Linked DNA regions of Pelodiscus sinensis. The protein of the gene in region 2 interacts with the protein of the main gene of each other region in a pairwise test. Links are inferred from orthologs where the notes say so. Each region holds a gene or a part of one and is shown on either strand. Other genes may lie near its edges.

Region 1 (10,164 bases), on a different chromosome or scaffold from region 2:
TTTTTGTAAAGAGTAGATTTAATGTAGCTGTTTTGATAATTACATGTTTAATCTTCTCATCTACATTAAATAACTGCTGTCTATTACCATGGACTTTTTTGTAAACATGCCTACAGATTGATTGATTATGTGGCTGACAAAAATCTTATGCATTAATATGTAGTGCTGTACCGATATGCACTTCTTTCCTCCATTACTTCTACACATCCAGTAACTTGGATTCTTACATTAAACAGCTCTCTCTCTCTCTCTCTCTCTCTCTCTCTCTCACACACACCCCTTCACTAGCAATTAAACAGAATCAGCTACAATTAAACCAGTCTTGTAAACTAGTCACGATATTTGAGATCTGCTTACTGATGTTATTTTTTTAAAAGCAGAGTTCTGCTCTCCACTATAGAAGCATTAGGCGCAATTAGAGATTTGAGGAATATTTATAATAACCTTGAGCTTTGTAATTATCTAGACACTGGGCTGATCAGTTTGTGCAAGGCAAAACAAGAAACACACAGGGCCAAATTTGGCTGTGGCTAACATACTAGAATTGTATCAAGTGCAAGTCTCTAGCGATTTGGGCTCCGAGTTTTCTTTAATTACAGATCTGAAGATTCCTTTTGGGAAAACACTTACGTAAGTTTCTATTTAATAATATTTGCTACTATCCCATTGGGTTCTATCAGTTGGTTATACTGTGTCACTTCAGACATATGAAGCAATGCTGCCTTACAGACAAAATATGATATGGTGCCACAGTATGTCAGGTCAGGAACTTGACAATTTTTTTTGTCCACTCTCCCTTTACCCACAGTGATATTTATAGAGCCGTTAGGAAAGTGATGCTGCATTTCTCTTGTCCCTATCGACACCAAGAAGAGTTTGAGTCAAGGCAGCTGTCTATTTACGAGGCAGCAAACTGATTATTAGACCCTGTATGATGATGGCAGTATCACCCTAAGGCTTGCATGCTCCCCTGAAGCCATCACTGCAGCATGTACCCTGAGGCTGGGAGAGCAATCTCCACCAAAACAACAATACAGTTGGACAACTAGCTCTCAGGGATGCAAAAGGAAGAAGCACATTACAACTTCTACCTAAGAGGATGTGAGTGCTCTGCAATGCCCCGAGACTGCTGGAGGAATAAGGGACTTAAGCCATTCCTGGTTTCCCACACAGATGCACGCAGCATTCATTAAGCTATCACTGTGCCGCCTTATGTAAAAAAGTTACCTTTTAAGATTAAAAATGACCCTGCAAAATAAGGAAAAAAGTGAATTGTCTCTGTGTCCTGCAATTTTGGGTTTTTTTAGAAGGTTAACCCAAAAAACAAAACGAAAACAAACACAGACTGGTTCCCAGAAGGAGACCCGCTTGCAATAATAAAACAGACCCATTTTCACTAACAAGGTCTTTCAAGACAAGGAACTGGTATAGCTAGTAGTAATCTTTATTTTAGTCCATTTATATATAACCTGTGCAGATTCAGCATCCTTTTTAACATTCACAGATAATCAGGAAACTGGAGCACCATCCGAGTCAGGCAGAAGGAGAAAGGAAAGCATAGAATAACCTCCTCATAATATAGTTTCCTCTCAATCTGTCCCTTCCGTTCCTAATTCCTCTGACACTTAATAGGTATAATTTCACATCTAGCATAACTACACTATCAACAGTTTTGAAGACTCCCAGGCATTACTACAGTTTGTTACTCTGATCTACACATCCGGAATTTCTTACTATTCTTCTTCTTAAGTGTCTTTCATTCTAATTTCCTCCTTCCCTTCACCCTCATCCCCATTAGTTCCTTTTATATCACCATTCACGAGAGCTCCTGGAATGAGGGCTGTTGAGAACTGTCTGGATAATCAATGGTTCTAGTTTCACTTCCTTACACCACCATCATTCCAGCCCTGAGCTCCTTACATTTAACGAGTCCATCTGCAATACTTGAAAGAATCCAAATACTCCCATTAGCAAACCCTCTTTAGATCTCAGTCTTTCCTTATAGCTCACCTGCTTCCCTTACTTCTACAGCAGAGCCAGCATCCCGCTGTTAACCCGTCAATCAGATTTAAACAGATATGGGTTGGCAGGCACCCTTTGGCAGAAAGTTAAGAGAGATTAAGATGTTGCCTAGTTTATTATTATTATTGGAGGACTTTCATGCTGAAAGTAAAAAGCTGACCTTTTCCCCCTCAAGTCAAACAAAATTTGCACTGCAACCATTTAAGTTTCATGGATCAACCATTGTGGCTTACCCACAAAAATGAAATCAGAGGGAAATACAGACCCTATCACATGAGCCAGACTGGAAAAGAATTAACCTTGCTTAACTCTAATGTTATTATTTAGCCCCATGTATCAGGATGCAGATGTGAGAGAGGGGTTTTTTTTTTTTTGTTACTAAACATTTTGTATCATTTATTTAAAATGTAGTGCAAGTTCTCTCCCCTCATTCACAGGTTTACTTTTGACTGCTGGAACATTACAGCCCATTACCATCACTGGATCAGTTTATTTCAGAGGGCTCTGACAAAACTGTGGAATAGTATAAAAGCTTCTAAGTCCACAGATGCAACAACAGAGCATTCAGCTCCCTCCCCACAAGCTGGAGTGTGCATTTAACCTTCTAGCTGTTACAGATGTGACCCCCTCCCACAACAAGTAGGCACACAAGCAGGGATATGATTTTTCCTCATGCCTCAACTCACTCCATTAAAGCTTGTGTGACGCTGGCTCTTACCTGGCAAAGGCAGTTACTCCAAAATTGAGTGGGAAAGGGTGCTTCTGATATTTGCCTTTCCAAATTAACCCCCCCCCCCCATTCCTCAGGAAGAGAAGTTTGATATTTATACAAACATAGCATTCACTACAACACTACCAACTGTAAGGCTTTTCAGTTTGCAATTAACTAAAGTTGGCATGACGGGTGACAAGCCAATGCCACCTGACTTTGTGGCAAGTGACACAGTTATATGCAGCAAGACGGCATGACGTTCTGAAGTGGTGATAGGACTTTGATCATGATGACCAACAACATAATCACCCATCAGTCTCCGCAAAAGACAGCAACCTCTGTAATGCTCCTATTCCCATACACATATATGACTGGCATAGCTTGGTTAGAGATGAGAGGGCTGGAAAGTGATAGCAACAGATAAAGGAGAAGAATTAAGAATTAGTTGTGTTACCTAATATGGGCTTGGAGGAATGGACCATTTTCTGAGCAGCATGGACTTCTTTCCCCAAGTATTGTCTATGCCAATGAAAAGCATATAAAATGACCTTTGACCCAGCAGCCACCCACATGCCAATCCCCAAAGCAAAGGCCACTATTCAAAAACACAGTTGTAGACAAAAATGACCATAAAATACCGCCAGAATCAGTGAAGTCCAGGTATATACATATTAGTTTCTGACAGGCAATGGTGCTGGCTGTGACACAGTCTTTTCAATTATGAAGAAAATGACAAGACTAGAAGGGTCTTAAAAGAGTTTTAAAAAGTCAGTATGATGAGCACGTATTGGGAAAACTGGGAAAGGCCATCACCATGCACAGCAGTAGGTGACCACACTTTCACTACTCGTTGGTGTTTTGTAGATAGATTTGAAATATCTGGGGGGTGAGAGTAGAAATGAAAAGGCCTCAGTAGGATAACCCTGGCAAAAGTTTTGCAGTGTTGTTACAGGATGCCTGTATGGATTGTTTCACTCAGAACCACCACCCCAGCCGTGCACAGCAAATAACCTTTGACAGCCAACTCTGACAGCTAAGAAGTGCAGGCTGGCAGAGGTGGGAGTTATCCTCTCCTTTCACCCCAGCCCCACATTACAAAAACTTCCAGCAGCATCTTATTTCTCACTGGATGTATTTCTCATCTTATTTCTCACTTCTTTAGGATGCAGGAGGCTATTGTGGTGAGTTACCAGTTTCCTTTTTTCTTCAGCCCTTCTTAATACTTTACACGTCAGAATTAATTTCCCTTTCAATTAGCTAACTTAGTCTTTAACTCTGGCCTGCTTCCCCGCTCCCAAGTGGGGCCACATGAATGTCTAGCAAGTCCTGACAATAAGCACATGGTTGAGCCAAAGTTGCCTGCAGTCAGCTCTCTCTCATCGCCACATCCACACATCCCCCTTCTTCCCAGCCTCTTTTAAAAAGTAAATCCTTTCCCACAAGAAGCCGAGGCGCCCTTTGTGAGGCAGTTTAGCAAAGCTGTGAGCTCTTAGGCATTAATAGCGGGTTTAGAGCCGAGGAGGGAGCTGGGGAGGGGTGGGATAGGCGAGAGGGTAAACACGACAATAGGAGGGGACAACAGTCGCCGCGCGGGGAGAAGAGACCACACTGAGGCTGATGGAGTTAGAGGGGCAGAGAAGCGAACCCAGACCAGCAAGCTCCAGGGAGGCGAGCACAGCGCTGGCTGAAGAGACCGCGCTCCGCGTGCCAGGGGCAGCGAACGCCCTGCACCGCACGATGGAGTTTAGCAGCGCAGGCAGGCAGGCGAGCCCGGACCGCCCTGCGCGCGCACCCCAGCGTGCTCCGCTGCGCACGGCATCCGCGACAGGCACTTGCAGCAATGCCCCCGTCTCCGCCGGCCGCGCGCGCGGCCTCTCCGGCCGCGCGCCAAAGGAGCCGGGGCGGGCCCGACCCTCCGGCGTCCCACCTACCGTCCTCCTTGTCCAGCACCATGGTTCTGGGGCTCGCGGGAAACAGCTGCCTCCGCCGCTGGCGTCCGCTCACCCTCCAGCCGCCGCTCCTGTGCGCCAGAGAGGGGAAGGGACGGGGCGCCCGAGAGGGCTTGCAAAGCGCTGCCCGGCGGCACGCGCACCCGGGCCGTCCTCCCTGGGTCTGCTCCCCACCCCAGCCGGCGAGCGGCGGCTGCACGACTTCTAGCCTCGCTTGCGCCGGGCTCGGCTGGGGCGCTCCGCTAGTGCCAAGGCAAGCGCTCAGCCCCTGCCCTCCCGCCACGACTCACAGGCCCGTGCGGAGAGGAGCGCAAGAATTCTGGAAAGATAAAGGAGACCAAATCCAGGGCCGGTTCTCCAGCGCCTTCCCAAGGTGCACAGCCAAAAAATTGGTTTGAATGGAATTGCATATGATAGCTCACAAGCACCCCCCCCCCTCCTCCTTTCTGCTGTTGCTACTGCCGAGCTTCCCAGGCTTCCGAAGTGCTTTTCTCTTTATTTCACTCTAAAGCTAAAATTATATTCAAAGGAAGGGAGGTAGGGGGAGGAAAAATGCGAACCTATCACTGAACGCAAAAGCACTTGCTGCCTGCCTCTCTCAATTTATGTGCTTTGCACTCTCTCTTGCTGCTGAATAAATGCGCACATTTCCCAGGGACCCTCAGATTCCCCTGTTAATTAAATCAATTCATTATGCTCAGATCTGATTAGCAGCCTCTTCCCCCCCTCTTTGAATCAATTATTCAATACACAAACATAATTGCCTGTGCCAGAGGTGTCTAAGTATTAGCTTATTTAACTCCAAGGACACTAATTACCCCTAGGGCAAGGGAACTTTTCTCATTAATTCTGACAAAACACAAAAGCACAGTTAAAGTGTGTGTGTGTGTGTGTATATACGTGTGAGAGAAAATGCAGGAGTCTATAGCAAAGGAAAAGAGGCATTGCTTTAACACACGTGTTACTGTATAAATAAGATCAATTTTCTTTCTACTTCTCACAGATTATTCCCCACATCTCCCCCTGGCTAAACTTTTTAAAAGTAAAGTACAGAACTGCATAGCAATGAATGTAGGTGGCATCACTAGCTTGAAAAGTGTTTTCAGCTACACACACACACACAAAAAGATAAAGAGTTGATGGGGGAAGGGAGAGCAAAACAGAATTTGCAAACTATTTTGTTTACTATGGCAAAAAACTGATAAAACTGTGTAGCAGTCAATTTTCTGTATTTTAAAAAGCTGTGAAAGAAGTAGTCCTATGAAAACAGCAGATAAGATGGCAAATAATGTACCATGTATTGGTAACAGTTCTGAATTGTTTACAATCTGAATTAATGTCAATGCCTACTATTAATGTACTTGCTTCCTATGTTTACCATAATGGGCTTGATTTCCATTAGTTGAAACTGGAACATCATTCATTAGCATTTCCATTAGTTGAAACGGGAACTTGCAGGTTACCCACATTTTAATTCCATGTGAACTTCCATTAAAAAGCATTTATTGATTTCCCCCCAAAATTGGTTTTTACTTACCAAAGACCCTTATTGTTAGTGTCCTCAATCTGCACAGGGGTATTGAAGATTTTGTTTCCCCAGGCAATACATGAGCTGATTCATTATTCCCCTTGCCTATCTAAATCTATCAGGAAACTAATATTAGTTCTGCTCATATACTAAGCTTTATTTCATTTCCCCCCACTGTCTTGATTTTAATTTTTTTTAATCAGGACGGTTTCTGTTGGTGAGACACACAATTTTTGTGATATCTGGAAATTTTTTTAAAATGCCAAAAGATTTGTCTCCTGGGATTTCCTCCCACTTCCACATTACCACATTTCTCATGTTGGGGCTGCCATGATTAGAGTCGTTCATTTGACAACGCTACTCATTATCTTTAAAGCACACATTGTACGTGTCAAATAAAGCCAAGAAGAAAACCTGTTACATTTATTGCTAAGCAAGTTTAACCAAAGTTACTTGCAAATACAACTTACAATATAATATTGTGTTCCATTAGTGCAGTACTTTTTTCTATGAGTATAATGATTTAAAAAAAGCCTGCAGCTTTATAACACAACAAACTCTGTTAATTTTCTGATATTTAATTTCCAGTGTATGGCATATATTGTACCCACATGAAGTTGATCTGTCTAACTTAATGAATCTTTTTGGAAACAACACAAGAAATCTCAAACTTGGAGAAACCTTTAGCTATGTTCATGAACCGCTAATATATATTACATTTTAAAGGCCCAAATGTGCTTCTGCTGTAATCAATTGAAACTTTAACTGCAATGGTAGTAGGATCAAGACCTAAGTATGCAACTTTTTCATTTTACTCTGAGCTTTTTGGAGGTACCAGAGTTTTGTTGAAGGATACTCTTACCAAAGAGGCGTATGTTTGGATACGCTAAGCTGCAGGACACTATGGAAGATGCAAAGGGAGAAGCAGCCAGAAACTGAGTAAAGGGTCTAAACTGTGAAATGAATATTGATTTTGGTATCACGTCTCTAGAAGTGATGTTCACAGTTGAATTCAGGAAGATCGTGGTGTCTGGGGATGAGAAAGAGAAGAAGAGGCAACGGACAAATTGAAGTGAGGTCTCTCAGCCAAAGCCAAGCTATTATAAAACATAAAACATGAAATAATTCTCCATGCAAACATTTTACAGTTTAAATGATACGCACTGATCCCTATCTTTACATTTATGCAGGCTTAATAAAGATCCTAGGATTAACCACTATGTAAAAAGTCTCCACTTCAGAGAAATGCTTTCTACAATATAGTGGCGCATTGCCCTGTGTGCCTTTTACAAATATATTCAGATAATCCATTCAGAAAAGGAAGCATTTGAGTACTTACGCGAATGTCTGGAGTCTAAAAACACTAGACAGGAAATACCATGAGAATGGCCTTCCTTAAGAATTTTCCCATACTAATAAATAAAATGAAATAAATAATACAATATACTACTACTACTATTAAGTAGTGTTGCCATAGCCCCAGTTTACCTGGTACTATATAAATGCACAGTTAGAGTTCCTGTTCAAAGAATTTTCATTCAAAATAGAACAAAGTGTATGAAGAGAAACAGGTTCCGAGATGTGAAAGTGACTTCCCCAAAGTCACACTGTAGGCCAGTGGGAGAGCTGGAAATATGAACCACGTCTCCTGACTCCCAGCCCAATGCTGTAGCACTAGTCTGCATTGCATGCATGCTCAGAACAAGACTAGACATGATTAATATGCCACTCAAGGCTTTATGCACTATTGTTCATATTATGATAGCACCTACAGTGGCTAGGGTCCATTGTGGTGCAGGCTAAACAAAACCACATGTAACAGACAGTCCCTTCATTGAAGTGCTTGCAGTGTAGATAGAAAAAAAAAACCAGACAAAGAGAATGAGGGAAAAGAGAAGTACAGAAAGTTGGAGTGACTTGCCTGGGATCACACATCAGCTGAATTGTAAGCCAAGAGTGAAATCCAGATTTCCTGTGTCTCAAATCAATTCCCAGTTGAATAGATTGCAGTTGCCTTTCTTCTTTTGCTTTGGCCACAAGTAGCAGAAAAGGAAAAGCCTAAAAAATGATGGAGTATAGCAGATGAAGATTTCCTGGGGAGTGAACTTGTGTTGTATCCCAGTCAATGGAAAGACCTCCACAAGTTTTCCTGTGCTTGAATGAGGCAGAGACCCAGTAGAGGAAAAAGTATACAAGTATGCAATTAACTATCATATCATAATGCATACTCAAAGTGGCAGAATTAGATTTCATTAGCCATCTTAATTTTGGCATTTGCTAATGTTTGAGTGCCTGAGTTGTCAACATTATGTGGTGTTGTTTTAACAATTTTTAAATGTAATTTCCTAGGTTTCAACTGCACAGAACAGATTCCTAGCTCATCTGAAGAAGTGGGTTTTGCCCACAAAATGATTTTATACACACACACACACATACACACTTGTTAGTCTCCAAGGTGCAACAGGACTACTCATTTTTAAAGTTACAGACTAACACAGCTACCCTCTGAGACTTCCTTGTACTTGAGTTAGATTTAGCTGATTATTCCTGAAGTGGCATTGTTGAGTGAAACAAAATACAGGACTATGTAGCACTTTAAAGACTAACAGGATGGTTTATTAGATGATGAGCTTTCGTGGGCCAGACCCACTTCCTCAGATCAAATAGTGGAAGAAAATTGTCACGACCATATATACCAAAGGATACAATTAAAAAATGAACACATATGAAAAGGACAAATCAAATTTCAGAACAGAAGGGGGTGGGGGGGAGGTAAATGTCTGTGAGCTACTGATATTAGAGGTGATAATTTGGGGAAGCTATCTTTGTAATGGGTAAGATAACTAGATCCTTTGTTCAGACTCAGGTGTAAAGTGTCGAATTTTAGCATGAATAACAGTTCAGAGGATTCTCTTTCAAGTGCAGTCTTAAAAGGCTTTTGAAGCAGGATGCAGGTAATTAAGTCGTTGAGACAATGTCCTTTCTGGTTGAAATGGCAAGAAACTGTTTTTTCTTTGTGATCCTGTCTAATATCTGTTTTGTGGGCATTGATCCTTTGGCAAAGTGTCTGATACATTTGTCCAATGTACATAGCAGACGGACACTTTTGGCACGATAGCATAAATTATATTTCTGGATGCGCAGGAATATGTGTTCTTGATCTTATAACTCACTTGGTTAGGTCCAATAATGGTATCAGCAGAGTGAATATGTGGACAAAGCTGGCAATGGGGTTTGTTGCAAGGGAAGGTACCAGGGTTGGTATTAGTGTGGTATGTCCTGTGGTTGTTGGTAAGAATCATCTTGAGGTTAGGTGGTTGTCTATAAGAGACTATCGAAAGCTCATCATCTAATAAACCATCTTGTTAGTCTTTAAAGTGCTACATAGTCCTGTATTTTGTTTCAACTACACCTGACTAACCTGGCTACATTTCTATCACTATTGTTGAGTGAGTCAGACTTGCATCTGTCATATTGGTGACCCATGTTTTATTCCTGGCTATTTTAGGGCTTGTTTACATTTATAGCATTGTAGCGGCACTGCTATAGTGCTTAGTGAAGACACCTTCCAGGCCAATGGGAGGGCTTCTTCCATCAGTGTAAGAACTCCACTGTGGGTATGTCTACATTACAGCACTATTTCGAGTTAACTTAATTCGAAATAGTTAATTCTAATGAAGCTAATTCGAAATAACGCATCTATACACAAAAACTATTTCGAAATAGCGTTTTGCTATTTCGAAATAGTGCGTCCACACTGAGTGGAGCCTGAACCAAAGTTAAGGCTGGCCGGAACCAGTGTTGGCAGGACATCAGGTCAGGACTTGAGTGTGTGGGGCTGCTGCCTGAGGCTAACTGAGCTCCGTGCTTAAAGGGACCCTACACCCACCCTGGACAGACCGTTCTCTTGCTTGTCTACCTCAATGAGGGACACCACAGCACTTGGCCACATA
Region 2 (9,707 bases):
TGTGTAACTTGGATATGTATGTGAAGTATGTCTATGTGTGTGTGCGCATATTCTCATGCCTGTCTTTTGGTAAATATAAATATACTACATGGACAGTATCTGCTTTGTGTGTGTGTAATGACAGCCAAACACATATATACAATGTAAACAAATGGTAATGATTAACAGATATTGGTTTGTATTGCCAATTCTAACTGCAGAGGAAAAATGGTAAAAAAAAGAATCATATTGTTGCGAGGTTTCTTTTATATTGCTTCTTATCTTTCTTCCTTGAAGTCATTTGCATAGCCAAAAGAATAGCAGTTTATTAATTATTTAACTAGAATTTTTACAAGAGCAAATCTTTGAGCTCTAAAAATGAAATGTATGCCTTGAGAAAGATTAGGAAGAAAGAAATTTTACTACTATGAGAAAAGTTAAGTAAAAAATGAAGAAAAAAAGAAAAATGAAAAGACTGTATCTGTTATAGACTTATATGTATTCTATTCATCACAAAGTTCAAAGAATAATCCAATAGTTTCCTTACAATTTTCTACCTTAGTAAAGCATATGGAATACTTTTAACCACTATGTGCAGGTACAAGATAAATTTGTTTATTGTTACATTAGCTTAAGGTTCATCACTCTAAACCAGGTACTCTAGCTAACTTAATACACTACATGTGAGCAAAAGCAATCTTTACTCTTCTACCACAATAAAAAGAAACTAAAGAAAACTGTCAGGTATTTTATATAGAGTTGGCAAATGAATTGCATTGAATAAAATCTCTGAAGTAGTTCAACAATTCTAGTGCCGTTTTCTGGTAAGGAACAGTCTTACAAAAGGAGACACAAAGTGTTAAAATAGTTCTTGCTATTTTGAATTTCCTACTTAATTTCATATTCTTATATTTTTATTTTTCTTCATTTTAATCCCAGTATTCTTTCATTTCCTTTCATTGCATGCATGTTTTTCTGCCCACTTAAACTGTTTTCATCTTCCTTTCTTTTCTGTACCTTTTACTATCATATTCAGTAGTTTGAGCGATGAACAGCTTGACTTAGCATATTTTTAACCAGCTGGTCTAGCACCTAGCCTGCATTGCATAGTCAGATACAACCAAATGTTTATACAGAAGGTAGCTTTCGTGAAAATGAAGGGGTAAAAAAGCCTATGTAGCACGCATCCCCTTGCATTCTTTTATTTACTAAATGAAAAGTTTGAATTCTTTGTTAAAGGAAAACAAGGGCCTATTTATAATATTTAAAAATAAACTGGAGGGGAAGGATATTGGATCTTCAATGAAAGTGTGTACCAATGTATGAGAGAAGGCTTCAAAACACAGTTTAGAAAAGGCAGATTTAAGTGAAAGAAGCAGTAAGCTCTGGAGGTTACAAACTACTGCCAGTGATAGCAAAAACTTAAATCTAAATGTTTAAAGTTCCTACATTAGCTAGAATGGGGAAAGACAATAAATAAACCATAAATAAAAATCCAGCTTTTGACATTCAGCGAAAAGCTGCTGGCAAAAACTTAGAAGAATCAAGAGTTTCCCCCTTTTTTGGATACGTAAAGGCTGATCTCTTGGCAGTTAACTTGACTAAAAATAATAACTTCTGTTAGATCAACAAAGGGTCATGTGCTTTACAAAGCGCCTTCCAAAGTTTTAGGGAAGGATCAGATTGGAAATGAAATCCATGGCTTCACCCCAACCAGAAACCTTCTCCATCACCCCAGAAATCACTTCTTGAAGACAGAGAGATGCTAACAATGAGGGCATTCTGCATCAAATATTTCCTCCCATATTTAGTAGAGTGGCTCAGTGAAGGAGTGCGAGAGAGAGAGAGAGAGAGAGAGAGAGAGAGAGAGATCATGGTAACGTTCATTAAGATCCCCATTAGGGATCTAATCCCCACCAGAAAAGCATTACTGGTGAGGCAGTTGTAGAGGACTTTGCAGATCCCTTCAATCTGCTTCGTGCAACAAAAACAAACAAACGATCAGCAAACTGACATGTAATCCGAATTGCAAAGGTAAAGCTTCTCCACCGAGCATTCTTTGGGGGAGCATCTCACCACTGACACAGAGACTGCTGTAAAAAGGGAGAGTTAGACTTTTTTTTTTTTTTACACACACATACACACACAGAGAGAGACATGCACACAAAAACACTCCACTCACCTTTCAAACTCCTGAGGTAAATCAGGGTCAGTTAGCATGCTGGAAAAGCACAATTTCCCTTTGTCACAGCAGCCACCTATGATCGCCTCCAACTGAACCTGTCAAGTGAGTCCAAACCTTCTAAACCGATTGATTTTCTCTTTTTCTCTGTCTGGCTCTCTCTCTCCCACCCCCCTCTCTGAGCTAGGACTCCTTGACCAGTCTCTTAAAGGGGTAGCACACTTAGCAGTAGACACTGTTTCTAAAACTCCCCCCACAGCGGAGCAGCACGCTGCGGCTGCAAGGCACTAGACAACCTCAGGGTGCCTGTCCTTTCCTTTTAATTCTGTCCTCCAGTCACCACAAAATGGGAAAAGTCAACTCCTGGAACGTCCATGAAATCCAAAGAAACCCCCCGAAATCTATAAACCAGGAGCGAACGAACCCCTGCGCTGAGGCAGATCAGGGGAGAAAGAAGATAAAAACAAGAGCAGCCCGATTAAACTGAGGCTATTATCCACTCCCTCCGAGTTGAAATAGGGAAGAAAAGATTAGACACATAAAAAATGTAACCAAAGGCATTTGTACTCAAAGAATTTCCATTCCTTCCCCCCTCCCCCCCCCCCTCTTTTTAAAGTCTCCCTCTCCGTCTCTTTGGGGGGAAAAACAACAAAAAACAATCAGGCATTGTTCTGAGGGAAGAAAAGCAACTTTGACAGATTGAAATATAGCAGAGGCCCCTTCAAGGAAACCTGTAAACAACTTGTCACTCACTCTGTCGGTCGCACTGTTAGCTCTTGCTTGCCACAAAGTGCTGCGAACCGTCCTGGCAACAAAACCAAAGTTTCCTCAGCTCCAAACTCCATCAAACAGCCCTGGTGTGTGAAGGGGGAAAGGTAGCCACATGCCAAAACAGCACACACCGCGCACACACAACAGCCACCAGCAACTTTCAGGCTGTCCTCTGGATTTAAAAAAACAAAACAAAAACCAAATCTCTCTCTCTCTCTCTCTCTCTCTGAGCAAATCAAAGGAATCCCTTAGCTGTGGATCTCTTTAATTTCCTCTGCCCAGACAGCCGCAGATAACAAGGTGGACAAAGTGTGGTTTTAGAGAACCGAGGCTGGCTGGCACAGCACAGCCCTCAGAGCGGTTCCAATTATCTAGATAAAAATCTGGCAGACGAGGAAGGTAATCAGGTAATGGACCTTTGACATGAAATGACAGAGGCGCGCGCGCGCACACACACTCACACACACACACATGCAGAGACAGGGACTGGCCAGTGCACTGCAGCATCTGGTCAACCAGGAACGCACACACACAACATTCACACGCAGATAAGACAGTGTGAATGCTCCACATCATATATACACACACACACACATACACACACAGAGAGAGAGAGAGGGGGAGAGAAAGAGAGAGACCAGCTATCCACTCCTACTGGGAGGGTTCATTCTGCACAAAAGGCTACATTACAGAGCCCGCCCCAATAGGGAAGGGGTGGGGGGAGATGGGAGAAGCCTTCTATTGTGGAGAGGGCAGGTCAGTTGATTAGATTTTCTGTGGAGAATTCCACGAGGAAATTCCCTTCAAAGCCAAAGTGATTAACTGGGGGGCTATTCTGGAAATGGAGCAGACAATGGCTCAATAGTCTGCGCTGCCAATGTCCAGGCTGGCACTGAACTCACTTTAAAAATAAATAAATAAATACAAGCTTCCAGTGTCTGTTCTTTTTACACACTCAACCCCTCTATTCCTTGCCTTCCAGTTTCTCCTCCCCATTTAGGCTTGGTTGGGTTTGGGCTGCCTTTTTTTTTTTTTTTTTAAATGTGCAGCTGGACAACATTAAGAGCCTTTAAAAAACACAAGGTTTTGACCCCCACAGCAGTTTGATTAGGTCCATTCCCTCCCTGGCTCCCCCTTTCCCTGACACAGGCAGAGAGCAAGTTTACTTTTTTTAGAAGTACCAAGTGCAAGAAGACACACTAACAAGAGACTCTATATAACTTTCAGCCCTTTCGTGTTGATAGGTTTAAAGAAAAAGCATGCCAAGTCTATTAAAATCCAGCAATATGTGCCTTTAAAATAATGTAGTCTTTTAAACTTTGCATATATTGTAAAGCTACACATACATACAGAGAGGGCATGCACTCAAGTGCAGTATCAATACTTTATCAGCATGAGTCGGACATAGCTTTAGTCACAAGAAATAATAAACACTTGTGAGTTACGAACATTTCAAATGTGCATTACTCTACTTACATGGGAGCAAAACATTAAAGCTAAATTTGCAAAGGCACCTTCCATGTTCCACAGAAAAGAGTTTAAAAAAAGAAGCTTGTCTCAAATCTACTTCATATATATTGCAGCATTCAGAGCAGGCACATAGAAATTGTCAACTCCTGGCATGAGGTAGATCTAATGGCTCCTCACCATGGGGCAGGGTAAATTGGTCTTCTTGAATAGCCCCTGGCAAATAATATTTTCAACAGAGGTACATTCACAATAAACTGACAAATCTAGTTAATATGCACAAGAGTTTTTGTTTGTTTTTAGTAGATAACCCTTCCTGAATAACTATGAAACAGACATTAATAGAGGGGCAGCAGCAGATGGGAAAAAATAACCCCACATACTTTGAGGATCATAAACCATTTTAATTAAGCCACACATTACTCTTCTGTAGTAAATAAATGTAATTCTACCTAATTTTGATACCCTTAGTTGTACTGAACAGTACCATACACCACAGAGAGACCTACCAAAATCAGCAGGGCTCTGTCTGGAGTAAAGTGCTATTCAGTATGAATATAGGTATAAGGTTTTGGCCTTTGTTAAGTAACTAGGCCAAGCTCAGACAGCTAGTAAGTGACTGCATTAGGATGAGAATTCAAGAGTTCTTACTCCCAATCCCCTGCTCTAATCAAGCAGTAATACTGCCTCAGCTGATGGGGACACAGCTGCTATACAGTTTTGTTTTAGAAATTCATGCGTCCTTTTTTGCACATCTGCAAATTTCAAGTGTTTCACCTACAAAGGCACTAGAGTTCACTGCTTTGTTAAAATGGTTAAAAGTTAGATTACCCCCTGTAATGTTGGCAGAACTGGTGCCAGTTCATGCCAAAGCCTGTAGGCTTCACTGAACACTGACAAATGCAGAGCTGGAAACTAGTCTGGCTCACCTGTGTATTAGCATTGTTAAAATAGATGTTAAGTTGATAAGCATGAGTTTAGTGTTTAGACTTGATGAAATATTCATAGGAGGCTGCCAGTACTGATCTCCCATATAACATCTGTAGTCCAAACTATGAAGTTGTACTGTTTGTATTCTAAACCTCTGTAATTGTACAACTCACCAAACAGGAAAGAAGCATTAATTAGCATAAAGTGCTGGTCTTGCTCACAAGAAGGCCCATTGAAACCAAATGAACCATCAAAAAATTAAGACTTCGTTAATAGCCCCTCCCACATATACCCATGAAGAGCACCAGCACTTGTTCCATCAGTTTGAACCCAAGGGGTAGAAAATAAAAATGGCTGACCAGAAGAAACTGTATCACTCTGCTGAGTGAATCTAAAGATGGCAATATTACTAAGCATAAGTAAGGGATCCCCAAGCTACTTAGCTTGGCTTATCCCTAAAGGACACAGAAAGCCTGCATATTGCAGCAGCTTTTATTACCTTTTGTAACTCATTTGTAGATGTTTACCTTCTTTAATCTTGTAAATAACTTTAATTTCTTTTTCTTAATTAATAAACATTAAGTTAGTTTATATAGGTTTGGCTACAAGTGTTGTCTTTGGTGAGAGATTTATGGTAAAATTGACCGGAGGTAAGTGACTGGTCCTTTGGGACCAGGAATAACCTCAATATTGTCATGATGTTTGGCGTAAGGGACCACCTAATCGCAAAGGCAAGCTTGTCCTCCAGGGGACTGTCTAGGAATTCATTTTTAAGACTGTTGTAGTGCTTGAAGAGTTCACACTAGGCACTAGCAACCAAGTACCAAGTGTGAACTTCTCAAGTACCAGTTGGAGTTTATGCCCTGCTTCTTAACAGTGTATCCTGAGGCTGATACTCATGGTCATGAGCCAATCCAGATAGCTTGGCACCTCCCATGGATACCTGTCAAATTTGGGTGGCTCCATTTTAATTAATCATTTTCACACTCCTTAGCCCCCCTTTGCTAGCTCTGCTATCCCATTCCTCAGTGATGCTTTACTTTTCCTATCACTGAGCATGGAGCAGGACATTGGTCAGAGGAGGAAAAGCAAAAGAGGCAGAAGAAGATGTAGAGAGCAGGAGTTTGCTCCATAGGGAAGCCTGAGGGACCACTCCCTATTCCCTAGCTCTCTTTGCAACTGCCTAGTTTCCCTTTTATTCTGAACTCCCTCACAGGGTATGTCTATACTGCAGAGATTTTTTCAGATTGTTTTTCTGAAAAACAATTATTTTTCTGAAAAAACTTCACTTACGTTTTTCTGAAAAAAACTTCACTGCACTGCAATCGCATTCTTTCCAAAAAAAAATCGAAAGGACATAAGGTTTTTTTTCAACATTGGTAAACCTCTTTCTACAAGGAAGAAGCCTTTTTTCAAAAGAGCTCTTTCGGAAAAAGGCGTGTGTGGATGGGGAAAAGGTAGTTCTTTCGAAAGAAGAGGGAAATGTACAGGTGCCCTGGAGGCCACTCCATCCATAGGAATCACAAGTTAAATGTGAGATAGCATGCATTCAGTGTGGACACTATCTTTCAAAAAAGCAGATCACTTTTTTGAAGTACTTTTGATGTGTAGGCTCTCTCTTTCGGGAGAAGTTTTTTTGGAAGATCTCTTTTGGAAAAGCTTCTGAAAGAAGCCTGCAGTCTAGACATAGCCCCACTAAACTCCCTCTCATGGCTCACAGAGGAAAAGAAGCAGGGTCTAGAAAAGGGCAGAAATGTTACCATTGTTATCTTTATGTTTCTCTGTGAAGCCAGGTTTGTCTTAATAATGTGCCCAACTGCAATCTCAAGAAGGAAAGGAGGGAAAATTTATAAATAATTAATTTAAGAAACCTCTGGAAAATTAACTGAATAATCTTTTCTACAAATCATACTGTCACAATTTTTAAGACCTCTTACCTCCGGGGCTGCCACAACACAGAACAAGAGGAAACCAGAGGAGTTGGGGAATTCCCTGCTATTCTCCAACAACAGAACATTCTCATTCCTAACTTTGCTGTTTCTTACGATATTGGAACTTACATCTGTTACTGGTGCAGACCTGAATGTTGCCCATCAAATAACTCTGACCAACATGTTTAGGGAAGAAAGAAACAAACGTTTGTGGGCCAACTCTTTTGTTTATTTCTTTCTTTTACTTTGTATTTAAACTAGGTGTCTATTTGAAGGGACGCAGAGGTTTTCACATGTAACAAGTAGTCTCAACAAAAATGATATACAGCCAGAGTGTAATAGAAGCAGTCGAAGGTGAATGATACATTAAAATGTATGTTATGATTCCGAAATTTATCACTCCGATATCACCAGACATATTGGCTGGATAGACAACATAGCTTTAGATAGAAAAACTAAAATATGAGTAACTCTAGAAGATTTCAAGGACTAAATATACATAAAATAATAACTCAGAACTTGAAAATAATTTGGTGTTTACTAGGAAGTAACTCACAAGTGAATTGCAACAAAAGCAGGAATTTCAAAACCACACAATGCTGACCTAATCCGGCTTCCATTGAAGTCAACTGCACTGTTCCTACTGACATCAATGGGAGCAAAGTTAGGTCAACAATAACCATGAAATCCTTTTGGACCCTTAGGTATTTGGTCCACACCACTACAGGACATAGTCACCTTATAAACTAACAAATTCATCCTCAACACATCCCTGAGAGGTCCAAAAAATGTTATTTAGAACCATTGTATAGGTAGGAACTATAGCACTGCTTGATTAAGAATCAGATCTCAGCTGCTGTAAACTGGCATAGCTATTGTCAAGAGACCTTCACCAATACACACAAATGGAGTATATGAACCTAAGTGTTTTTCCAAAAAAATCACAGAGGAAATCAATCACCCAAGACCTAAACCAATGCCTTAACCACAAAACTCTCTTCCACTTCTAGTGGCTGTTGCCTCATTCACTATACCCCGGCAAAGAAAGACAATTGAAATTGGAGAGTAATGGGGGATAATATAAATGAATGACTGAGGCTAAAAGGAAGATATATAAAGTGTAAATGTCCATATAAGAAAAACATGCATTATATAGGTTACAAATACAACAACACTGATAGTATTTGGGGAAATATGAGCTGTTTGTGCTCCAGATATCAGAACACAAGCATAATGGAGAAAAGAAAATCTGAACAAAAATGTTCCTAAAATTGTTGAATGATAACACTTCAGATCTGTCTTTGGCAGATACAACAATAAAGTGAAGCAAAATGCTGGAAAATAGAGCTTTGCCCGTTTTGTTTTTTTCCACTGGAAGTTGTAATAGAGGTCTATAAAGTCCAAGAAAATGTAAGATGTTCCACAGAATGATCTACTGGAAAATTCTCAAAGTGAATATAAGAAATCCTAAAGATTATAAACAGATTTTCTTTGCTCAGCTTAAACTCTATAGCACTGCAGTTTTAAATATGGCCCTTTAACATTTCTATCCCGATTTATTTTTTTGTGGGCAGAGAGCAGGATGAGAATGGGCTAAGGTTGATAAATTTTTTTCTACTGGGAATATTTTGTGAAGAGTGAATGCTTAATTTGGAAGATGGAAATATTTAGCTACATCATTCTTTGAATCATATACTTAGGAATAGATATTTTCCTTCCGAAGTGCATGCCTAACTGTCATTTCCATTAATAGGAATTAAGTACATATGTAGGTGTGGAAGTTAACTCTTACTAATATAATGGACTTATGCTATTTGAAAATATGAAAATGCTGAATCAGGTTTGTGTAGTGTTGGAGAAATCTAGTGCTGAATAGAATATAGAAAAATAGTTGAATGAGCAAGAGGAGTACTGAAATTATTTTTATGTTTTCAGATTTTCAAATTTAATTACGTTTCTTTAAGAAAACCATCTCAATTGTAATTGGTAACAAATGAAGCCACCATCTGAGAGCCATTTACCAAGCTTTTCACCAGAGTCATCTATCACCAATGAAAACCAATACAAGAAAGAAGGAGCACTGTACTTTGGGAAAAGGACAAATCATTGAGTTTTCACTAAATTTTTGAATCTTCATCCAACACTGAAATGTAAACTTCTTTGAGAGTCTCAAAATATTTTGTTAAACTTTCTAGTCATTTTTCATTTTTGCTCAGTTCTGCACTCCCAGATTCTGTCCAAGCCCAGAGGGAAACATCAATTATGGAAAGGCTGTGTAGCCTACCTACAAGACAGAAATAATGGAAATTTCATAGAATCATACAGCTGGAGGGGATCTCGAGAGGTTATCTAGTCCATTCCCCTGCACTCAAAGCAGACCTAAGTATTATCTAGACCATCTTTGATAGGTGTTTGTCTAGCCTGTTCTTAAAAATCTGCAATGATAG
Region 3 (10,694 bases), on a different chromosome or scaffold from region 2:
AGGTCTCTCAAGATTTCATGCTTGGGCCCATGGTTCATTGCTACATGCCGCTCTTTCAGAGGCGGGTCCTGCCTCTGAACGGAAGGACAGTCCCCAGTCAGGGACACTTCAGCATTGGATATGTCAGAGGGGCCCAATACCCTGGACTGGGCCCGAAAACAAGCAGGCTTTCCAAGAACAGAGACCTCTGTGATGCAGGTACCTGCAGGGCTTCCTGTTCAGAGATATGCTGTGTTTGTCAACAGCTCGTGATGGCGGGGCGTCTGGCCACTGCTTTCACTTTCAGGGTGGCTTCCTGGAGCCCTATGAGCTAGTGCGGAGCTGTGAACGCTTCCCCACCTCAGCCACATCCGTTCCTGCCAGACGCTCAGCTAACTGCCTCTGGCAGGTGGCTCACTCTCCCCTCGAGTCACTGAGGAGGGATGAAAAAAATCCCTTTAGCCAGCGAGCAAGTGGAGATACCTTCTACTTCCCCACTCATCACCTAGGACATGGCAACACATGGGAACCTGCCTCTACTGCAGCCCTTGATAATCCTGCCCTGTCGAATTCTCTTTACCCTCAGGCTCATCAACAAGAGCCTGAACATCATGGAGAGCTGGATAGAGGTTACCTCCCTTCACCACCCAGCAGTTAAATACTTCTCACCAGTTTCCACCTGGCTCACAGAAGAATCTCAACCTCTCCAAGTCAGATTGCCCTGCACTGTCCCCATTAGGCTTAAAACATGTATATGGGGCTGTGCTGCTGCTAATTCAGCCTGAAAGTCACTGAGAACTGGACACTTACAAAAAAGTAAACCCACCCCGAACAGAGAGACAAAAGGGAAACTCTAGCCCAAGGGCCAGGCCAAGGGAAGCACAGCCAGGATGCTCTAAGAAGCATATTACTGTCATATCTAGAGGCCACATGGAGATCAGTGCCCCACTTTGCTAGGTGTTGCACAGACACGTACCTGCCCTGAAGATTTTACACTCTAAATTGAGAGAGAGGAAACTCAGGAACCGAGCAGAAACGTGGGCAGTGGCAGAGCTGGGATCTAGTGCCAAGTCCCTGTGCAGAGGTCAGTCCTCAAGAGGGACCCTGATTTGTCACAGCAAGCATGGAGGCCACCCTCTATCAGAAACTGGGCCGTATCATGGACAGCTTCGTCTGTGGTCATGCAAGCCACCTTGCCGAGCAGCTCCAATACTACCCAATGTTTCTTGAAATGAAAGGCTCATGCTCTGCTGTGAGCTCAGGGCAGAGACCCTGCCCCACCTTACTGCATTTGTGAAATTCCTCCCACATTGCATAACTGCTTAATATAGATTCTGTTTACATAACAAGAAAGGAAGAGAAACAAACAAACAAAACCTCCCTCCTACTCTGCACTGTTGCCGGTGCCACAGCTCCTGCGAGCAACATCTGCCGGGCTGAGGTCACCGACTACTCCAACAACCCCCTTTTCCAAGCTGGGGGGGGGGGGAGGGAGGCAGATGGGAACCAGAGCTGATGGATCAGAACCAGGTCACATCAGTCTGTCTCCTGATGCTGCTGAAATATCCACCTCTCCTTCCTGAGCCTTTTGAACAACAACAAGTGCTGATTTGTTCCCAAAGCTCAACCCCTCAGCCTACTCCAGTTCGTGTTTGCTGTGTGTCATTCTCAGCCCCACGGGGTCAGCGAGCTCATAAAACGCTTTCACATACTGTACAAAGGGGAGAGAAAACTGGCCGGTTTAATGTTCTCTGGGCATGAGATCACCACGCAAGGCAGCCAAGACAAGCCCGGCTTCTGAGAGGATTACTGGACATGATGACAACTTTGGGAAACAGCAGAGAACAGCTTGAGTCTTTTACCCGGCTTATGGCAGGAGCCACTGTGGGGGAGGAAGGAAGGCTAAGAGTCTGTCCCCTCCAAACTGCCTCAGCTCATCAGCATGGCACAGAGAACAGGCAGGGAGACAAAGGGACAGACACCTGAACACTCACTGACACAAGAGCACAACTCCCAACAAACAAAGGAGACAAGTGCAGGCGTTTGTTAATTACAAAGCAAGCAAAATGCCATTAATTAGAGTTTTCCTAACAGTTATACTGGATGGACCAAGGTTTGTGGGGGTTGCATGTGGTGGAGTGAGAACACAGCTTGGCTCACACCACATGTAGGAATCTGCCTCTCTGCTCTGCAGAGTTTTGCAGCTCCCGCTTCATTCTTCCAAGGCAGACCTCAGCAGTTGTTGCCTCCCTTCCCCCTTTCCAGAAGATACAGTAATTACACTGTTCTTTGTTTCATGCCAGTTGGGATGCATCTTATCTGGGTTGCAGCACTGCAAAGCACCTGTTTTTTTCCAAGGCAGCTGCATGCTGGGCCTTGCTTTGCAGTTTTACTGGTATGGCAAAGTGCCTGTTTTGGGGCTGCCCTTCTGCACAATTTGGGGCTCCAATCACCCTCTTCTCACCAGTCCAGAGAGGAGAGCAGGGCATGCTGCTTCAACTCAGTTCTTTATTCTGCTATCATTAGTGGATTGATGTCGACATATCATATAAAATGGAGCAGTACCAAAAACACCATTTTACATGTGGGGAAACTGAGGCACAGAATGAGGCAAGGAGTCACCCAAGGCCAGAGCAAGAAATAAAAGTCTGCTCTCCAGGCTTCACCCTAGAGATTACCCTGCCACAAAAAGAAAATCTTAAAACAAAGGCCACCCAACCTTGCTAACAAATCAGAAATGAGAGAGGACAATGACCCATGAGCTCATCTAAACCTTACTTAAGAGGAGAGGGGGATGCTCAATCTCATACATATTCCAATGCATAGAAAACAGGAGAATGCACTGTGGACAAATGCAATTTACTAAATATCCAAGGAAAAACAGCTCCAACCTAATCTGGAACAGCCAGGTCCTCTGGTATTTTGGAAAAATCTACTGAGAGTAGATGTTTGTACTTCTCAGCAGTAAACTGCAATTTCCAGAGTCACTTCTCCCCTCCCCCTGCCCCCACTACTAAACATTTATCTTGTTCACACTACCCTGGTACGTGTGTGTATGTATGTGCTTGCGTGAGCATGGGGCAAATGGGAATAGTTTCATTCTTCTACATGGCTGTAGTAGCTGAAAAGTGTTCTTGAAAAGGTCAAACCATTTCTTGACTTGGAAGGAGGGGCCGTTAGCATCTTCAAAGCACAAGAGTAAGCCACTTTCGGGAAATGACAGCGTACAATGGAACCAGAATTCTGCGTACACACTGTACAATACCTCAGCTTAACCCTTTGGAGGCCATGACGGGGAAGGGGAAAAACAGCCAGATTCTTCTGGGAACCAAAGAAAAAAAAAAGCTGTTGCTGACAGCTGTCACAACAAATTAGCTGAGAACAGCTAAAGATTACAAACCACAACAGGAAGTGGGAAGCCAGAACCCAACACAGCACTGAAATTTACCAACTAGAAAGAAAAGTGCATTTTGAGATAAAAATTACTGGGAAGCCCCTTGCAGCTAGAAACTTTTGAGACAAGGAAAAAACTCCCCCTCCCTCCTCATTGCTTCTGAAGAATCTGCAGCCTAACGGCCGGGCTCTGGGACCAGCCTGCGAACCGGGCTGGGCAGCTGCGGCTCCCATCTCCAAGGGGCTGCTAGGGAGCAAGTGCACCCCTGCTCTCTCTGAGCCCAAACCCAGCTGCAGGACAGGGGCTCGGGAGTGCGCCGGAGGTTTGACCGTAACCAGAATCCAAAGCTGACTTCCCTGTCCTCAAATGGGGCACGGCACCCGCCTCCTGCTGCCAGCCCCATTTCCCACTCCAACTCCTCCCCCTACCCCCAACCCACTCCCCTGCTGCCAGTCCTGGCCTCCCACCTCACCCCAACCCTCTCCCCTGCTCCCAGCCCCATCCCCCCACTGCCAGACCCCGTCCCCAACTCCCCCCCACCTCAGTCCAACTCCCCCCCGCCAGCCCCCATCCCCAACTCCCCCCCCCCTCAGTCCAACTCCCCCCCCCGCCAGCCCCCGTCCCCCCAACTCCCCCCCCTCAGTCCAACTCCCCCCCCGCCAGCCCCCGTCCCCCCAACTCCCCCCCCCTCAGTCCAACTCCCCCCCCGCCAGCCCCCGTCCCCCCAACTCCCCCCCCCTCAGTCCAACTCCCCCCCCCGCCAGCCCCCGTCCCCCCAACTCCCCCCCCTCAGTCCAACTCCCCCCCCGCCCGCCCCAGTCCCCAACTCCCCCCCCTCAGTCCAACTCCCCCCCCCCGCCAGCCCCAGTCCCCAACTCCCCCCCCTCAGTCCAACTCCCCCCCCCGCCAGCCCCAGTCCCCAACTCCCCCCCCTCAGTCCAACTCCCCCCCCCGCCAGCCCCAGTCCCCAACTCCCCCCCCTCAGTCCAACTCCCCCCCCCCGCCAGCCCCAGTCCCCAACTCCCCCCCCCTCAGTCCAACTCCCCCCCCGCCAGCCCCGGCCCCCCAACTCCCCCCCCGCCAGCCCCAGTCCCCAACTCCCCCCCCTCAGTCCAACTCCCCCCCCCGCCAGCCCCAGTCCCCAACTCCCCCCCCTCAGTCCAACTCCCCCCCAACTCCCCTCCTCCCCGCGCTTCCCGGCTGGGGACGCGCTGCCGACCCAGCCCAGGCAAGGCTGGTTCTTACCCATCGCCCGCAGCGCCGCGGCCTCAGCGCCCGCCCGGCCCCCGCGCCGCCGCCCGGCCCATGCGAGACTCCGGAGTGTCCGGGCTGAGAAGCAGCAACTCTGTCCCCGCCCCGCCCCGCGCGCCCATTGGGCGGCGCTCAGCGGCTGATTGGACAAGGGCGCCGTCAGTTCAGCGCGCCCGCCCCGCGCCGCGCGGGCCCTTGGGATTTGTAGTTCGCGAGAGAGCCGCCCCCCCTCCCTTCCCGCCGATCGCCCGCCCGCTGCGCGCGGCTCGCCCCTCCCCCCACGCCTGAGGGAGCAGGACCCCGGCCGGGCCAGCTGCGGGGCTGCCCCGCTCCCCCCCTCCCGCGCCGGCCGGGCCCAGGCCACTCCCGGAGGCGAACGGGCTGACCCGGGGGGGAGCCGGGTGCGGGGGGGGGAGCCGGCGGGCTGACCCGGGGGGGAGCCGGGTGCGGGGGGGGGCCGGCGGGCTGACCCGGGGGGGAGCCGGGTGCGGGGGGGGGAGCCGGCGGGCTGACCCGGGGGGGAGCCGGGTGCGGGGGGGGGCCGGCGGGCTGACCCGGGGGGGAGCCGGGTGCGGGGGGGGGGCCGGCGGGCTGACCCGGGGGGGAGCCGGGTGCGGGGGGGGGGCCGGCGGGCTGACCCGGGGGGGAGCCGGGTGCGGGGGGGGAGCCGGCGGGCTGACCCGGGGGGGAGCCGGGTGCGGGGGGGGGGCCGGCGGGCTGACCCGGGGGGGAGCCGGGTGCGGGGGGGGGAGCCGGCGGGCTGACCCTGGGGGAGCCGGGTGCGGGGGGGGGAGCCGGCGGGCTGACCCGGGGGGGAGCCGGGAGCGGGGGGGGGCGGCGGGCTGACCCGGGGGGGAACCGGGAGCGGGGGGGGGGCGGCGGGCTGACCCGGGGGGGAACCGGGAGCGGGGGGGGGGGGCGGCGGGCTGACCCGGGGGGGAGCCGGGTGCGGGGGGGGGCCGGCGGGCTGACCCGGGGGGGAGCCGGGTGCGGGGGGGGGCCGGCGGGCTGACCCGGGGGGGAGCCGGGTGCGGGGGGGGGGGCGGCGGGCTGACCCGGGGGGGAGCCGGGTGCGGGGGGGGGGGGCGGCGGGCTGACCCGGGGGGGAGCCGGGTGCGGGGGGGGGGGCGGCGGGCTGACCCGGGGGGGAGCCGGGTGCGGGGGGGGGGGCGGCGGGCTGACCCGGGGGGGAGCCGGGTGCGGGGAGGGGAGGCCGGCGGGCTGACCCGGGGGGGAGCCGGGTGCGGGGAGGGGAGGCCGGCGGGCTGACCCGGGGGGGAGCCGGGTGCGGGGGGGGGCCGGCGGGCTGACCCGGGGGGGAGCCGGGTGCGGGGGGGGCCGGCGGGCTGACCCTGGGGGGGAGCCGGGTGCGGGGGGGGGCCGGCGGGCTGACCCGGGGGGGAGCCGGGTGCGGGGGGGGGCCGGCGGGCTGACCCGGGGGGGAGCCGGGTGCGGGGGGGGGCTGACCCGCACACAACTATGACCCAGATGCCGGGAAGAGACGAGCCCGCACCCCTGTGTGAGCCAGGCACCCCGCACACACGCGTGAGCCGCGTCCGGGAAGGGAGCGCTGGCTAACCCGGGCACGTGCGTGTGAACCAGGCGCAGGCAAGGGGGGAGCCCGAGCACACTGCTCCTAAGATGCACTTCTGTGTTCCGCACTTCAGAGAAAGAGAAACTGACCTGTGCGATTTCGTGGGGACATGCTGGACACTGTTACCTTGACGGCATACCTACTAGCCAGGGATATATGCCTGATGTATCTGTAGTAGAAAGCGGAAGCCAGCTAATATGTGGCTTTAGTTGGAGAAATGAAATCCCAGCCTCACTCAGTGCCTGAAGGGAAGAGCTGAGTACAAAAACTCAGTTGTCCCTACCAGAGCATGGCTAGTAGTTGAGACTGTGGACAGTATTTCTAGTTTTAAAGACAGTTACAAAACCAGAGGCTTTTTAGAACTGTTCCTTTAAAGCCCAATACAAGTGAAGTCAATACAAGTGCCGGTGCACCGACTTCAATGAGTTCCTTCAGTTTATCCCCTTGAGACATGGCTATGTTTAAAATGTAGCATTATTTTAGCTTGATATTTCTGTCCATTCTGAAATATTGGTTCAAATATTCATTGGTAGTTGCTATTCAAGCCTGTCTCCATTTTCTGTGTCCATGTGTGTCTAGCCCATTGGTAGTGTTACATTCTGTAAATAAATTTGATCTTTTCTCTCTGGCTTCTGATACCTTGTGGAGATGACTTTATTTAAAATAAAAATAGTGATATACAGCAGTGGGGAATGGGATTTAATGCCAGCTTTTGAATTATACACTCAAATGGCAACTAGTGAGGAGCACTTAGCCCTGAAAAACTGGAAGATTTAAAGTAAGGGTTCAGTGGATGGAGACAAACTGAATTGTTGAAAAGATCCATTAAGCCAAATGGCACAGCCAGTGGAGGGGCTAGGACAGGGGTCTGCAACCTATGCCTCTCAAGCCAAATATGGCTCGGTATGTAACCAAATATGGCTCTTCTCTCATTCCCAAAATACATGCAACTTTTAAAATTAAAATAAAAAATTAATTCAAAATTTTAAGAACACATAATTATTCATGTAACTTGAATTATGCATGACCCTGAATTTCACCAGTGATGATGTAAACTTCAAAGAAACGTGCGAAAAGATGCAGCAGCAGAAGTCCCATTAAATAAAAGTCGGAGTACAATATTTCATTTGTTATTAATCATCATGTCAATTATCAATAATATTAAGTTGTATATTTTCAGTCATGAAAATGGGCATTCTTATACAGCTCTTTGTTGACCACTAGTTCTGAATTTTGAGGTAGTTTGTCTCTTTGGTTTGAAAAAGTTGCCGACCCCTGGGCTAGAGGGTCTTATTGCTGGAGCCTGTGATATAGCATTGCAAAAATACCCTATAATGTTTTGGAGTTTTGCAGTAATCTTGAATTACTTCCATAATTTCTATTTTGAAAGAATATACTAATTCACCAGAGAGGCCTTATTGCCTTCAAATGCTAGTAGCTGCAGTAAAAAAAAAAAAAAAAAAAAAAAAAAAGCATTGAAGAATACAAAAAATCTAAGCCATAATGATGTAGCTAGGTGAGAGGCTAGTCCATTTCAAAGTTTTGCCAGTAGAACTATTTGGGTTTTCATGACATTGCTGTGCCATCAAAAGCTCTAGTATAGTCAGTTACACTGGCAAAAAGTGTTTTATAGCATTGAAGCATGTTTTGCTTAGGTAACTGGTATACACTATGCCACCAAGATGTTTTTTTTTGCCAGTATAAACTGAGTCTCTACTAAGAGGGATTGCTGCTTTGCTTATGCCAGCCACAGGTTTGAAGTGTGGAGGCTGGTGAAGGGAAGGGTCACAATCAGGAATAAACTGGAAGAGGTTTTGATAAGGGGTAAAGCGGGGTGGGGGACTGGGGACATTCCAGCTATGATTGTAATGTCTCACACATTTTGTTTAGTGTCATGTTACTGTTATTGAAAAAAGCTTAAGGGTTGTGTTATTTCCTTTCTTTTGATTATTACTGTGAAAAAAACAGGAAACTGGAGTTGTACTCCTCTTAGTGCAATAGCACACAGGAGAGGAGGAGGAGGCTGGAAAAATATTCTACTACATATTGTTGTAACTGATCAGAGAGAGGGGGCAGTACAGGAAGGGCTGTGGTATAAGGAACAGTGAGTAATTTGTGCTTTTTATGACTTCCTTCTCTTGGTTCAAATAACCCCTTCCAAGAAACTTTCCTACAATAATCCCCCAGATAAATGATAAGATAGATACAGAACAAGAAACAGCAACAGAGCCAAAGAGATGGGGTGTGATTTTCGGTGGTGCTACACACTTGAAGCTCCCAATGATGCTTATAGGAGAGGTGTCAGCTCAATGCTACTCTACATCTGGTCCCTAGATGACCTAAATAGTATATCATAAGTAATGTGGGATGTAGGTTTTGTTGGACTGAGATTGGCCACATTATTCATGTGAGGCAGTGCACCTGAGCATAATGGTTCTGCAATTTATTATATGGATCCACCATTTATTATTAATTCAGTCCTGCTGTGTGACCTTAATTGCTATTGTTATTACTGGGTTTTAAGGCAGCCAGTACTTTGTGGGATTGGGCACTACATTTAGACAGAGAAAGAGGATGAGTGAAGTCCAGACCCTAGAAAAGCCCAGGACTGGATATGTGGCCACATAGAGTTAACCATTTAGCCATGTGGGGTTGCAAGCTAGAAAATTACTGAATCTCTAGCTCTGATTGGCACAGAAGGCACTTTCAGTAAAATATCACCTCGTGTTATAAATAGTTCTTGTGGCTATGTATATAGTCCAGAGTCATAGTGACTCAAAAAATATAATTGTGGAGAGTTCAGTTTGGCTTCATAAAGCAGTGAGATGTAAAACTGAATTAGCAGAGATCACTGTCTGAGAAAAGGATGTGGGGTAAGAGTGGGATAATGTAAGTTAACTGTTAGAAATGGATGAACTTGCTCTGAATAGTGTAGGCCTTGAATTGAGATTGTCTGAGATATAGATGGCAAAGATGTTGGTTTTGTGCCTGAGTGTTAACTATTCTATGAGTGTAATAAAAATGAATGAACCCTTGAGCTTACATGGAGTTTGCAGCTCACAAGATGTGGAGATGTAAATTAATTGGAGACACTGTGGTGAGAAATCTAATATAGGACCTGACCAAACACACTTAAGTCAGTTGACTCTCACTGCTTTAATTGGTCTTTGGATCTAAGCCATATTGGATAATTGTACCTTTTCATTCTGTATTCTGTCCTTTTGTCCGGAATAGCTGGATTGCTTTCCAGGCCATGAAGCAGCTCTTGCTGAGCTTCTGTGATCACAGTGTTTAATCTTAGCCAAGCAGTGAGATCTTACAGCAGAGGGGATGTTTCCCATGCCTAAACCTCAGTTATGAAAAACCTTTACTCCTAGGAATCCCAGGCTTGAAAACCAGTGGACCTTTCCTCCTGCATATGTGAATTTCCTTTCCATTTTTTAGGTGAGAATGTTTAGGACAAGACCTTGGTTTAGTGACTCTTTTTTTTTTTAATATCGTTGAAAGCCCAGTATTATACTGACCTTGTTGCTATAGTGTCTAAACAACCAATAACAATACTGAGCATGTATTGAGGACGGCTTATCCAAACAAAATTGAACCAAGTTAATCTCAGGGTCTGGGGGAACCCCTGGAAGAAGTACCTTCCTGGATGGCATGAATGAAGACTTGAGGAGCAAGTAGGTGTAGGTACAGCCAAGGGGGGAGGGATAGCTCAGTGGTTTGATCATTGGCCTGCTAAACCCAGGCTTGTGAGTTCAATCCTTGCAGAGGCCATTTAGGGATTCAGGGCAAAAATTTGTCAGGGTTGGTACTTGATCCTGCTGTGAAGGCAGGGGACTGGACTCAATGACCTTTCAAGGTCCCTTCTGGTTCTAGGAGATAGGCAATCTCCAATAATTTATTTATTTATAATTTATGCTATTTACCACTAACTGCAGCCTGTTTCTGCCCATCTGGACTGAGTCCTTGTTACACTACTGAAAAGAGTTCCTGTGGAATGCTGATCTTAAACAGCCCCCCGTTCCTGCATGATGGTTTCCTACTCTGGGGGCTGGTGTTTTCATATCTATTTGATTTAAAGCTCCACCATGAATACAATTTACATGCGTCTGTGCAATCAGAGGCTAAACCAGCTCCCACCTCTGTGTCCTTGGAGACTCCTCTGCTGTAGTTCTCCTGCAAAGATGCAGGTGCTGCGATTGGGATGCACAGCCCTTGCATGGTTCAGAGCCCAGCTTCACAGGCAGCAACTGGCAGAGGGAGACACAGCACCTGAGTGTCCATAGGAACATGGATTCAAACAAAAGGAAATGTTTCTTGAAGCAGTGCAGAATCAGCCTGTGGCTCCACAACATCCTCTGGCCCGAAGACCAGGGCTTTAATAGGGTTCAAAAAAAGAACTAGATAAATTCATGGAGGTTAGGTCCATCAATGGCTATTAGCCAGGATGGGTAGGAATGGTGTCCCTAGCCT

The links.
Region 1: the proteins of SOX5 (region 2) and LMO1 interact in binary tests that used the Homo sapiens proteins (3 or more experiments, as listed by UniProt). The two-hybrid records come from large-scale screens. The link is inferred for Pelodiscus sinensis from reciprocal best matches to the Homo sapiens genes SOX5 and LMO1.
Region 3: the proteins of SOX5 (region 2) and ARID5A interact in a two-hybrid assay, tested with the Homo sapiens proteins (2 studies listed by BioGRID and IntAct). The two-hybrid records come from large-scale screens. The link is inferred for Pelodiscus sinensis from reciprocal best matches to the Homo sapiens genes SOX5 and ARID5A.

Annotation. Positions count from the first base shown.
Region 1 is NC_134714.1:108,226,485-108,236,648, reverse strand, and holds the start of LMO1 (rhombotin-1), read right to left. Parts: upstream 4,726-10,164; 5' UTR 4,688-4,725; coding exon of another isoform or gene 4,666-4,687; intron 1-4,665. UniProt on the Homo sapiens protein: May be involved in gene regulation within neural lineage cells potentially by direct DNA binding or by binding to other transcription factors.
Region 2 is NC_134711.1:116,738,196-116,747,902, reverse strand, and holds the start of SOX5 (transcription factor SOX-5), read right to left. Parts: upstream 3,940-9,707; 5' UTR 3,007-3,939; coding exon 2,915-3,006; intron 2,736-2,914; exon of another isoform or gene 2,200-2,735; coding exon of another isoform or gene 2,162-2,199; intron 1-2,161.
Region 3 is NC_134738.1:5,952,537-5,963,230, forward strand, and holds the start of ARID5A (AT-rich interactive domain-containing protein 5A), read right to left. Parts: upstream 4,777-10,694; 5' UTR 4,623-4,776; coding exon 4,619-4,622; intron 3,767-4,618; exon of another isoform or gene 203-3,766; intron 1-202. UniProt on the Homo sapiens protein: DNA-binding protein that may regulate transcription and act as a repressor by binding to AT-rich stretches in the promoter region of target genes.